3 linked regions of the Danio rerio genome follow. The protein of the gene in region 3 binds, or shares a complex with, the protein of the main gene of each other region. Links are inferred from orthologs where the notes say so. Each region holds a gene or a part of one and is shown on either strand. Other genes may lie near its edges.

Region 1 (3,937 bases), on a different chromosome or scaffold from region 3:
ACTCTTAATGAGCATTTCATTCATTCATTCATTTTCTTGTCGGCTTAGTCCCTTTATTAATCCAGGGTCGCCACAGCGGAATGAATCGCCAAATTATCCAGCAAGTTTTTAGCAGCGGATGCCCTTCCAGCCGCAACCCATCTCTAGGAAACATCCACACACACATTCACACACACTCATACACTACGGACAATTTAGTCTACCCAATTCACCTGTACCACATGTCTTTGGACAGTCGGGGAAACTGGAGCACCTGGAGGAAACCCACGCGAACGCAGGGAGAATATGCAAACTCCACACAAAAATGCCAACTGAGCCAAGGCTCGAACCAGCGACCCAGCAACCTTCTTGCTGTGAGGCGACAGTACTACCTACTGCGCCATTGCTTCACCACTTTTGTGTACAACTGAACAAAAAAAACTCAAACTGGTTTGAAATGATGACAGGATTTTCATTTTTGGGTTAACTCTATCCCTATCAGCGCAAGTGTTTTCTTCATACCTCCATGGAGCTCGCAGCACTTCTTGTGGAGCATTCCAGCCTGAGCTGCACTGACGATGCCGTTGGTCATCATGTTCTGCAGGAACAGCCTATGTCCGTCACCCATCTGTCTAGACATGACTGCTAAATGTCCTTTTCAGCTGGAAAACACATGTGTAGATAAGCTAAATTTCCCAAACTCAAGCAAACATGAGCTCAAATCGACATAAAACAAGTAAACCTACATGATATACCAACATAAAACTTTTATTGACATTTGAGTAGTTTAAAATAATATAACATAAAAAATAATATAGAGAAATAAACCTGTAAAATAACAGACAACTAGACAATATCTAACTTTTAACTATTAAAAGCATTTAAAAAAGTCACTTTTTCCACCTTTTTAAGGTTAAAAGTGATGAGAAGAAAGATCAAGGTCTCACAATGCAACTCAAAAGCATAAATAATAAAAAATAAATAAATACACAAATCACAAAATATGGGAACCCGTACTATAGTAAAGCACTTTACATTATTTAGCAGAATTAATCTGCTGTGGTAACACAACACCTTTGGTGATATAAACAAATTATCAAATAACGTTAGGGCTGTGCAATTAATTGAAAATACGATTTCGATTTTGGCTTCTAACGATTATAATGAACCATTAATCGAGATAATCGATTATTGCATCATATACCGCCGCCTTTCCAGTTGTACACATTAAAAGTCGAAAGACTGTGTGCTTATGTGTGTGTTTGTGCAGCGCACACACAGTCAGAAGCATGCGGTCAGCATTCGTCTCATCCGTACACTGAGACGAGCAGAGCGCACACGTCTTAAGTCATTAACGTGAGCGCTTTAATGGTCAAATAGGTGTCAAAACGCAGAGTGATTATTCATATTAACCCTCATTTGTGTAATAAACAAATGAGTTGGGAATCAAAAGACACGTGAAAGAGAAACCATTAAAGTGACAGAGCGATATTCCTTGTGCCGCCTGTTTTTATCATTATTAATAAAACAACAAGGAGAAAATCCACTACTGCTGTTGACTGAAGGACTTTTGTAGATAAAGTTTTTTTCTTACAGTGAAGATGCTTAAAGCAAAGTTGGTTTCATATTTTTATTCTATTGTATTTATTTCTCTTTCCTTTGAAGGTTGGAAAATAACTATATATATATATATATATATATATATATATTTATATATATATATATATATATATATATATATATATATATATATATATACACACACACACACACACACACACAGTTGAAGTCAGAATTGTTAGCCCTCCTCAATATTAGAAACCCTTTTCCCCCCAATTTTTGATTTATGGAAAGAAGTTTTTTTCCAACTTATTTTTAAACATAATAGTTTTCATATCTCATTTCTAATGACTGATTTCTTTAATCTTTGCTAAGATGACAGAACATAATATTCTACTAGACATTTTTCAAAATACAAGCATTCAGGTAAAAGTGCAATTCAAAGGCTTAATTAGGGTAATTAGGCAAGTCATTGTTTAACAGTAGATTCTTCTACAGACAATCAAAAAAATGTTGCTTAGGGGGCTAATAATATTGACCTTAAAATGGGTTTCAAAATATTTAAACCTGCTTTTATTCTAGCTAAAATAAAACACATAAGCCTTTCTCCAGAAGAAAAAAATATTAGAGGAAACACTGTAAAATTCCTTGCTCTGTTAAACATCATTTAGGAATTTTTTTTTTTCAATTCTCAGGAGCGCTAATAATTTTGACTTCAACTGATAATCGTTTTGAATAATCGTGATTACAATAAAGGTCAAAATAATTGTGATTAAGATTTTTCCCAAAATCGAGCAGCCCTAAATAACGTTACACTGTTTTCTACAACAATGTGGCATGTTATTTGACGTTACCACTAAGTTACAATACACCACAGTTTAGTGTAGTAAAATCTTAAGTAACGTAACATTATACTAATGTTACAGTATTTATTATTTATAAGTAGCTAGCCTTCATTTTAAAGACTTTTAATTATATACTATAATATATAAGTATAATACTCTTCACTATAGTTCGGTTCAAAAACACTGTGGTATTTTTTAAAAAACATTTTAAAAGTACTACACATGTACTATATTTTTGTATGGTAACATTTGTAACTCAATGCGAAATTTGAAATAAAATAAAACGACAGAACACTTGAAGAAAGACGAAAGTGTTTCGAGTAAAGCGACGTTTGTTTCTCATATACAAACCTTTGTTTTTAAATGTACAGACGAGCTGTCAGTTCGTGTAATATTCGCGGGTTCCCACTAGAAACACTTCCGGCCACGTGGTATGCGTTCTTCTTCTTCTTCTTCTTCTTTGAGTCCTCAATGGCAGATGGCGTCCTTTTTGTTGCATTACTGCCCCTTCTGTACAATTTTTTTTCCCTTTGTTGAGTCTTGTAGTTTTTTAAAGTTTCCCTTAAAATTCCAGGAAGCATTTCTTTTTTGTTTTTCGGCACATGCTACTTGTGATATTTACTCATCTGTTGGGTCATCATTTCTTGCCTTTCTTTTGTACATTTCCTAAAAGACACCAGCCTACGTATACAGTAATAGATAAATGCATATAGTTCATGTAGTTTCATACTTGTTAAATATTATTTGTAGAAAAATTTTTTTTAGTTTAGATTAAGTCAACATCACATTGTTGTACTCATGATATAGTATTGTATTTATTTAGTTTAAAAATAATTTTAACAAAATCTACTTTAATCATTTTAATCTTTTTTTTTTTACTTATTTGTAAGTGATTATGCATTAAACTAAAATTAAATATTAATTCATTCATTTTCTTGTCGACTTAGTCCCTATATTAATCCGGGGTCGCCAAAGCGGAATGAACCGCCAACTTATCCAGCAAGAAAAATATCAATATAATGTATTTATTAATATAATTAAATAAACTATTTTACGGACCAACTAACACTCCTATTTGGCCCTCAGGGGCCCCAGTTTTAAAAAAAATATTATGATAACTGACTTATATAATGACCTGCAAATCAGCAAACACGACAGGCAGCATTTGAGAATGATGATGGAATACATCCGTTTAACATTATTCAACATATTATCACCACTCACAGAGTCCAAATTATTATTATCCTGAACAGCAGCACATCACACTGAAAAAAATTATACAGAGATGATTCTTTGGATTTGCTCATTTGTTTTTTACGTAAAGTGGTTGTAAACAATTTATTTGTGTTGAATTTAAACAAACAAATTAAGTTGAACATTATTAAACTTAATTTTTGCAACAGTTCTCCATGTAACACTTTTTGAAAAATGCTGTTAATTTACTCAAATACCATTCTTCAGAGTATTACAGAAGATTTTCTTTTTATCTGAAGCACAGATTCTTTGGGATTGAGCCTAAAATTAATAAACAAAATTAAAAAAGATAAACCTAA
Region 2 (3,981 bases), on a different chromosome or scaffold from region 3:
GTTAATTTCCACCAAGCAGTCACTGGTAGGACACCTGACCCACCAGCCAGTTGTTGAAGGCCACCAACCAGGCTCTGGCTGCCAGTTGTCAACTGCCGGGTAAAATGCGCTGCCACTGGCAGGTCATGCTACCTGACAGTTGGACACTGGCGGCTGCCACCAGCCAGTGGCAGGTCATGTGACCCGCCACTGGCGGCTCCTGCCAGCCAGTTGAAGATTGAACCCCTACTGGGAAAGCGGGTTTAAGAATGAACACAACAGCCCACTCTGTTACTATTCTGCTTAATGACTCAGTATCGAATAAACTATACACGTTTTCCCGAATAACTTTACCTAACATTTACACTTCCTAATATACAGCAAACTACTATAGCACAAACTATTATCGCAGTGTAACATTACCAAAAAAGACTTTGAACTAAAAACCGGACAGTTGACTTTTTTAGACAGCATTACCAGCAGTTCACTATGTGAACAGCACAGTTTTGAACGCAGCCCCCTGTGTGGGCATCATTGTAGCGCTACTGCAGTGTGGGGCCTACAAGGCCTTGTCACCGCTGCTGTTATATTTACTTTCTGTATAGCTTAATGTCCTTTTAACCTACCTGAAATTTATGAAAGAACGCTTCTGGCCACAATACGAGGTACATAGGACCGATTAATCCCAGCTTCCCTATTAGCGGCACAGCAATGGAGCCAGCAAACCAGTATCGAGTGATGAAAGGTATGTTTTTAAACCAGTCCCCGATATCCGACATCTTGCCATATGACTGGAGATCCTGGAGATTCTCTGTCGTTTTTCCGCAGATGCTAATTTACAAAAAGAGCAGGTGCAACACACGAATCTTTGACCACAACGCAGAAATGCTGTTTCAGTGCTCTTCTATTTTGGTTACGCACTCCTTCCCGTTTAGTTTACATGACGTGGCCGCGCACGAACGCGTCCTCGTTGCGATTTTCCGTTTAATTTGACTGTCAAATTAACAGTCATGCAAAAAATCTAAAATATTTTTTTATTATTGACACTTAAGCATTTTAAAATATGTGTCGTATTACCTTAATAAGTTTTTATTCACAAACACTTCAACAGTTTTATGATTGCAGTGTGCATTTTTACGAAATCGAGGTCTTTTATATTGATATTTCGAAACCGGAAACAGCCTCTTTGTGGCGCTACTTTTGGCGAAGGAAGGGTTAGCATCTATTTTATTGGATGTTTTATGTATAATGACAGATATTTACTATATGTGTGTTCAAAAACATTTAAAAACTAAATGATAACGCTTAGTACATAGGCCATTACATAGTTACGTTTTGTGAGAGATAGGTAAAACTTTATTCTAAATATAAAACTCTTTGTTTAACTTTACTCGGTTTTTTATCTGTATGGTTAGTGTCACCATTTTTATAATAATTTTTCCCATACAATACACGTGAAGGGTAAATAAGGCTGGAAGTTGATGTTGAATTTGTGTTTGTTCAGTTGTGCAGAGATGTCTCTCAGTTCAGTGAACTCCACCTTGTCCAATCTCAAGTCCTGTCAAGCAGATGTTGGAGATTATATGGATATGGTGTCCGACGTTGGGCTGGGAATAGTCGAAGCACAAGGTGAGAAATATGCGTTTAGCTAAACATATCTTAGAAAGTAGACACTAATATATATTTTATAGATACATCAAACAAACAAAAAACCCACAATTCGATAGCTGAATGTACTCAATTCATGCAAACCTCAGATCCCGTACTGTATTACTCTTGACTACAGGTCAATAGTTCGGGTGAGTTTTATTCAAAGAAAATTATTCTCTTCGTCAAGGCAACATTAATGAAATATAAAATAATTGTTGAATTGTTATATATTTATTAAAATTGTTTATAACTGCTGTTTTATTGTACGTAGTTTCAAATGAAGTTATTACCCCAGTCATTATTGCTTTTATTAATATTACCATTAATAATAATAAAAAATATATTATAATTAATAATAAATATTAGAGTGATTTCTGAAGGTTCATGTGACTCTGAAGACTGGAGTAATTCATTTTTAAAATCACTGTAATAAATTATTAAATTATAAACTACAAGGTTCAATGCTAAGGATTTTTATACCGGTCCGATTGGGCCAATAATTCAAATTTTTACTTGCCCTGGCAAAATTTTCACTGGCACCACCTAAAAACACCTAAAGATAATAGCTATTTTTAGCCACATATTTTAAATAATGTGTCAAAAATAATGTCTGTGAATCTAGAATTTCAATATTTAAAGAAATGAGCAAAAAGTGTTATGCAAACAAGTTGAGTAGTATGAAAAATGTGCAGGTATTTTATTGCAGTTTGAAATTATTTAATAAAAGGTGGCTGACTTGCCAATCTGATGGCAAATTGTGCAAAACATCACTTTATTTTTTCGTTATGTTGTTCCCACGTAAATGTCTGCTTCCAAGACATTACAAACAGACCTTTTCTTTTAGCCTTATAGTTTGATGTTGGCGTCACTTCACTGTACTGGTTGTTACCAGGTTATTTGGGAGAAAAAAGAGCATGCTCAATACATCAAATCAGATAAGAGAAACCAAAAAGCAATATGGTGTTTACGACAACACTGAGAAGGTAACATTTAAAGACTTTAAAGCACAAAATTTAAATGCATGCAATTGACTAATAGTCGCATACAAATGAAACTTTAGTGATAAGGCAGCACTGTTCCAATTGGGCCAGTGATGATCTTGATCTCATCGGGCAGTCCTTATTGTTGAGCCCTGAACTACTTTTGAACAGTTATTTTATAGTGCAATAACATTTCACAATTGTACAATTTGTACTGTATTTTGATTAAATAGATGCTGTCAAGGTGAACAGGATGAGCTTGTTTTAAAAGATTTAATAATCCTACTGACCCCAAACTTTTGACTGGACATTTTCAAAAAAAAATCTTAACAAAAACAAATTTATTGTTTACAAATGCAGTCGTGTTAAGCATAAGACTCTTCTTTCAAACACTGTACTGACCCCAGACTGTTGCACAGTAGTGTATAATGTATAATTAGGGGTGTCACGATTCTCCAAATTTTCGATTCGATTACATTTTCGATTTTTAAGTCACGATTCGATTCGATTTTCGATTATGAATAATTAATTAATTAAAAACAAATTAATTATTTGTAGTCTACCGTTTAAACTACCTGACCTGTATGGTCTTTGTTTTACCCATAAACAAATCATACAGTAAATGAATAAAGGCAAGTTACACACATAATTACCACCCGTCAATCACTTTTTTCTTGTGAATAGGCAGTGATCTCTGTCGTTATTATGGCGTCGGTAAAAAAAGGTGCACAACCAACAGGAACCAGCCAACAGTATCTGAGGTTTTCGCTAAAATGACTAAGTACTAGTGTGAAAGTAAAAGATTGAAGCAGTCTTAACTAGGTTAATTAGGTTAACCAGGCAGGCTAGGGTAATTAGGCAAGTTATTGTATATTGATGGTTTGTTCTGGAGACAGTCTGAAAAACAATTAGCTTAAGGGGCTAATAAATTTGACCTTAAAATGGTTCATAAAAAATGAAGAACTGCTTTTATTCTAGCCAAAATAAAACAAATAAGACTTTGTTCAGAGGAAAAAATATTATCAGACATACTATCAACATTTCCTTGCTCTGTTAAACATCATGTTAAAAAACAACAAAGGGGGCTAATAATTCTGACTTCCACTGAATATATATTTACAGTAATTTTTTAAAATGTTTTTAAGAAAACATTCAGTTCATCAAGGCTACATTTATTAAATGTAAAAAATGTTAAATTGTTAAATATTTATCAACATTTTAAATAACTACTTTGTTATTGTATGTAGTTTCAAATAAAAGTATTACTCCAGACATTATTTCTTTTATTAATATTACCATTAATAAATATAATAATAATTAATATTAATGATTTCTGAAGGATCATGTGACTGGAGTAATGAAGCTGAAATTT
Region 3 (3,500 bases):
ATTAAACACATAAACTCTAAATGTAGTAAAAAAAAAAGACATTTAATGATGCTCATTACTTGAGGGTCTCGATGGGTCGTGACGGTGGTCGTTTAGAGCAAGACTCTGTAGGAGCGATGATGCTGTTAACTCGCAGCCTCTGCGTATCTCTCATCTAAAAAAAAAAAAATAAAAAAAAAAACATGCCTCGTTTTACATAATTTACTTTTCATTTTTTAATGCGAGTCAATAACAAAAGGGTTTTTGCAAGAAGCAAAATAATAACAAAAGTTAAAAAAAAAAAAACAACGCTTTTACCATGACTTAGAGGAGACTAAAATGGCTTTCTGTTACAGCAGATAATATAAATTAAAATCTCATCAAAATGCAAAAATTATTTGAAGACATTTTTAAAAACTTTTGAATTTACAAAACACATTGCAGCATCAAAATACTCATTATTTGTAAAAGTAAATCTTTATTTATTGCAACTATCCTTCAGACATTTTAAGTTTTTATCCATAAATTTATATATATATATATAATAATATTAATAATGTAATAAAATGTATATATTTCAAGTAATACGGTCTTTCCTCTCTACCAATAGTTGGTATGCGGGCATAAAGTGAGTGTAAAGTTTATTCATTCCTAAAGTACAGGTCAGAATATGTTTTTTCATTTTAACATAAAAATATCTCTTAGACTATTATTAGAATAATTATTCACAAAAGTTGAAAAAACATATATGAGTCTATAACAATAAAAAAAAATTATTATTAATATATTATCATAATATTATAAATCATTGTAAATATACTGATTATTATTTGTTATAACCGTTTTATCCAAATTATTATATCCATATATTATTATTTTTATTAATATTTTTATATAGTTAGGGGCCCAAGCACCGATAATTTATTCCCTAAATGACACAACTTATTGTCCACAATCTTGAACTAGTTTGAAAACCTGGTTTGAACTCTCCATAGATCATTAGCCCAATTTCCACCAAATTTGGCTCCGAACATACTGCTAAAAAGTTATAGTTTTCCAGTTGCTCTTTAGCTTGTTGCATTGCTTGTTTATAATGTGGCCGCTTGGCTGCTTGGCCCCGATAGTTGCTTTTCGCAGCTATAATCATTATTATGATTTTATTTACGGTATTTAGTATGTTTTTTTTATATACAGTTAAAGTCAGAATTATTAGCCCCCTTCCAATTTTTTTCTTCTTTTTTAAATATTTCCAAAATTATGTTTAACAGAGCAAGGAAATTTTCACAGTATGTCTCATAATATTTATTCTTCTGGAGAAAGTCTTATTTGTTTTATTTCGGCTAGAATAAAAGCAGTTTTTAATTTTTTAAACATCATTTTAGGGACAAAATTATTAGCCTCTTTAAGCTAAATTTTTTATGGATAATCTACAGAACAAACCATTGTTATACAATAACTTGCCTAATTACCCTAACCTGCCTAGGTAACCTAAGTAATCTATTTAATCCTTTAAATGTCACTTTAAGCTGTATAGAAGTGTCTTGAAAAATATCTAGTGAAATATTATTTTCTGTCATCATGGCAAAGATAAAATAAATCAATTATTAGAAATGTGAAATATAATATTATAAATATTAAAACTAATATGTTTAGAAATGTGCTGAAAAAATGTTCTCTCCGTTAAACAGAAATTAGGGAAAAAATAAACAAGCGGTCTAATAATTTAGGGGGGCTTATAATTCTGACTTCAACTGTCTATATATGCAAGTTCTTTTTAATGTAAACTGCTTGCTTTGGCAATACATTTGGCCTGCCAATACAGCAATTATTGAATTGACCAAAACTGGATGCCTCTTCTTCATCCCATGCATTCTTTAATGCATTGTGTTATTTTTAAAATACCCTCCACCCCCTCCCACCAAATGTCATATTACAAAACTCGGAAAAAAAAAAAAGTTCTACAAAGTCGAGCTTCTCACCTCATTCATAAATTTGTCGTTATCATCCTGTCTCTGGAAGACGAAAGCTCTCAAGTCATTGACAGAAATGTGAGTCTCAATGTATTTTGCATGCCGAGCATCACGAACATTTATCTGGCAATAAAACGGAAAGAAATTGATCAACTTGACAACCCATTTATAAACAGCAACTAAAATTAACAGCTGTTAACTTACCACCAGCATCATGGGCTCATGGACAACTCCTTCATAACGATCACGATTTTTCCTCAGCCACTCAAGGGCTGTGTATGTGTCACGAAAGCGGCTGCGCAATTTCTCCTCTTTAATCTTCATCATGTCATCCAGACTCCTCAGGCGATTCTGCAAACCTACCACAAATAAAACCGAGCCCAAGTCTTGGATCTGGCTATTCATGCAACATAATAGTTCGCTATTAAAATGAATATATAACATTACGCGCAAATTCTCCAGTGATTTCATCTTTATCTCTGCGCAGGTCCAGACTCTCACTCTCCAGTCTGGCTCTTTCTTCCTGAATGTTCCTCAGCTCTGCATTGATAGCCTCAATCTGAGGAGTAACGTCCTCAATGGTGCCCATGTTCTGAAGCTCCTTTTGCAGATCTCTGATCATCAGTTGCGTGTGTCCAATCCGCTTCTGCCTGTCCGCCTCCTCCGTCTGCTTTAGACTCATGTCCTGTTTGATGTCATCAACCTGATGGAAGAGAGTGATGAGTCTTTCAATACAGTTTTAGGAGGTGTTACTACAAATAAAAGGCTCGTCCGTTTCAGGAGGTGAAAAACAAACCTCTTTATTCTTCAGTTCAAGCTGGTCGTGTTTCTGCTTACATTTCTGCGTTGCCTCTTTGATACGGTTGGTCTGGAAAAAATAAAGGTATTACTTTTGTATATAAATAAAATAAAACAGAGTCTTGCTGGTGAGGTTGTGATCAGTGCTGACCATCTCCTTCATCTGCTGCTCGATGGGCTGCAGCTCACTCTCCACAGAGCGGATCTTTCTGAGCAGCGGCTCCTGAGCTTCCTTCAGGAACCTAAGCTTCCTTTTCATTTCATCTCTTTCCTTCTTCACCCCCTCCAGCTCTTTACGTGCCGTCTCATACTCCTAAAACAACAAAAAAAGATACAGTTTGGAAATGATATTCCATATGTACTCAAATTTTTAAAAACATCCACTCCTAGTACAACAAAAGCAAAAACGATAAGCACAAAGAATGTTCACTAAAGGTGTGCAATATTGGCCAAAATAGTTTTTGGCTCATTATATGAATAATTTTCCCACCTTAACAATAATTAAATAATATTGTGCTGGGTGTGTTTTGCTCATTTAGGCCAAATTACGTAATAGTCCTAATATATTCAATAAATGAATTTTTAGCCCTTCATTGATTTTTTTTTCTTTTTTAAATATTTCCTAAATTATGTTTAACAGAACAAGGCAATTTTCACAGTATTTATAATGTTTTTCTTCTGGAGAAAGTTTTATTTGTTTTATTTTGGCAAGAATAAAAGCAGTTTTTAATTTATTTAAAACTATTTTAAGGT

The links.
Region 1: smc5 (region 3) and nsmce1 share a complex: the UniProt entries of both Homo sapiens proteins name them as parts of the SMC5-SMC6 complex. The link is inferred for Danio rerio from reciprocal best matches to the Homo sapiens genes SMC5 and NSMCE1.
Region 2: smc5 (region 3) and nsmce2 share a complex: the UniProt entries of both Homo sapiens proteins name them as parts of the SMC5-SMC6 complex. The link is inferred for Danio rerio from reciprocal best matches to the Homo sapiens genes SMC5 and NSMCE2.

Annotation. Positions count from the first base shown.
Region 1 is NC_133178.1:43,207,134-43,211,070, reverse strand, and holds the start of nsmce1 (non-structural maintenance of chromosomes element 1 homolog), read right to left. Parts: upstream 2,801-3,937; 5' UTR 2,736-2,800; intron 642-2,735; 5' UTR 620-641; coding exon 502-619; intron 1-501. UniProt on the Homo sapiens protein: RING-type zinc finger-containing E3 ubiquitin ligase that assembles with melanoma antigen protein (MAGE) to catalyze the direct transfer of ubiquitin from E2 ubiquitin-conjugating enzyme to a specific substrate.
Region 2 is NC_133191.1:26,958,670-26,962,650, forward strand, and holds the start of nsmce2 (E3 SUMO-protein ligase NSE2), read left to right. Parts: upstream 1-1,181; 5' UTR 1,182-1,193; exon of another isoform or gene 1,194-1,389; intron 1,390-1,483; 5' UTR 1,484-1,493; coding exon 1,494-1,608; intron 1,609-3,981. UniProt on the Homo sapiens protein: E3 SUMO-protein ligase component of the SMC5-SMC6 complex, a complex involved in DNA double-strand break repair by homologous recombination. Is not be required for the stability of the complex.
Region 3 is NC_133185.1:17,915,255-17,918,754, forward strand, and holds part of smc5 (structural maintenance of chromosomes protein 5), read right to left. Parts: intron 3,061-3,500; coding exon 2,899-3,060; intron 2,818-2,898; coding exon 2,746-2,817; intron 2,653-2,745; coding exon 2,397-2,652; intron 2,309-2,396; coding exon 2,154-2,308; intron 2,073-2,153; coding exon 1,959-2,072; intron 155-1,958; coding exon 60-154; intron 1-59. UniProt on the Homo sapiens protein: Core component of the SMC5-SMC6 complex, a complex involved in repair of DNA double-strand breaks by homologous recombination.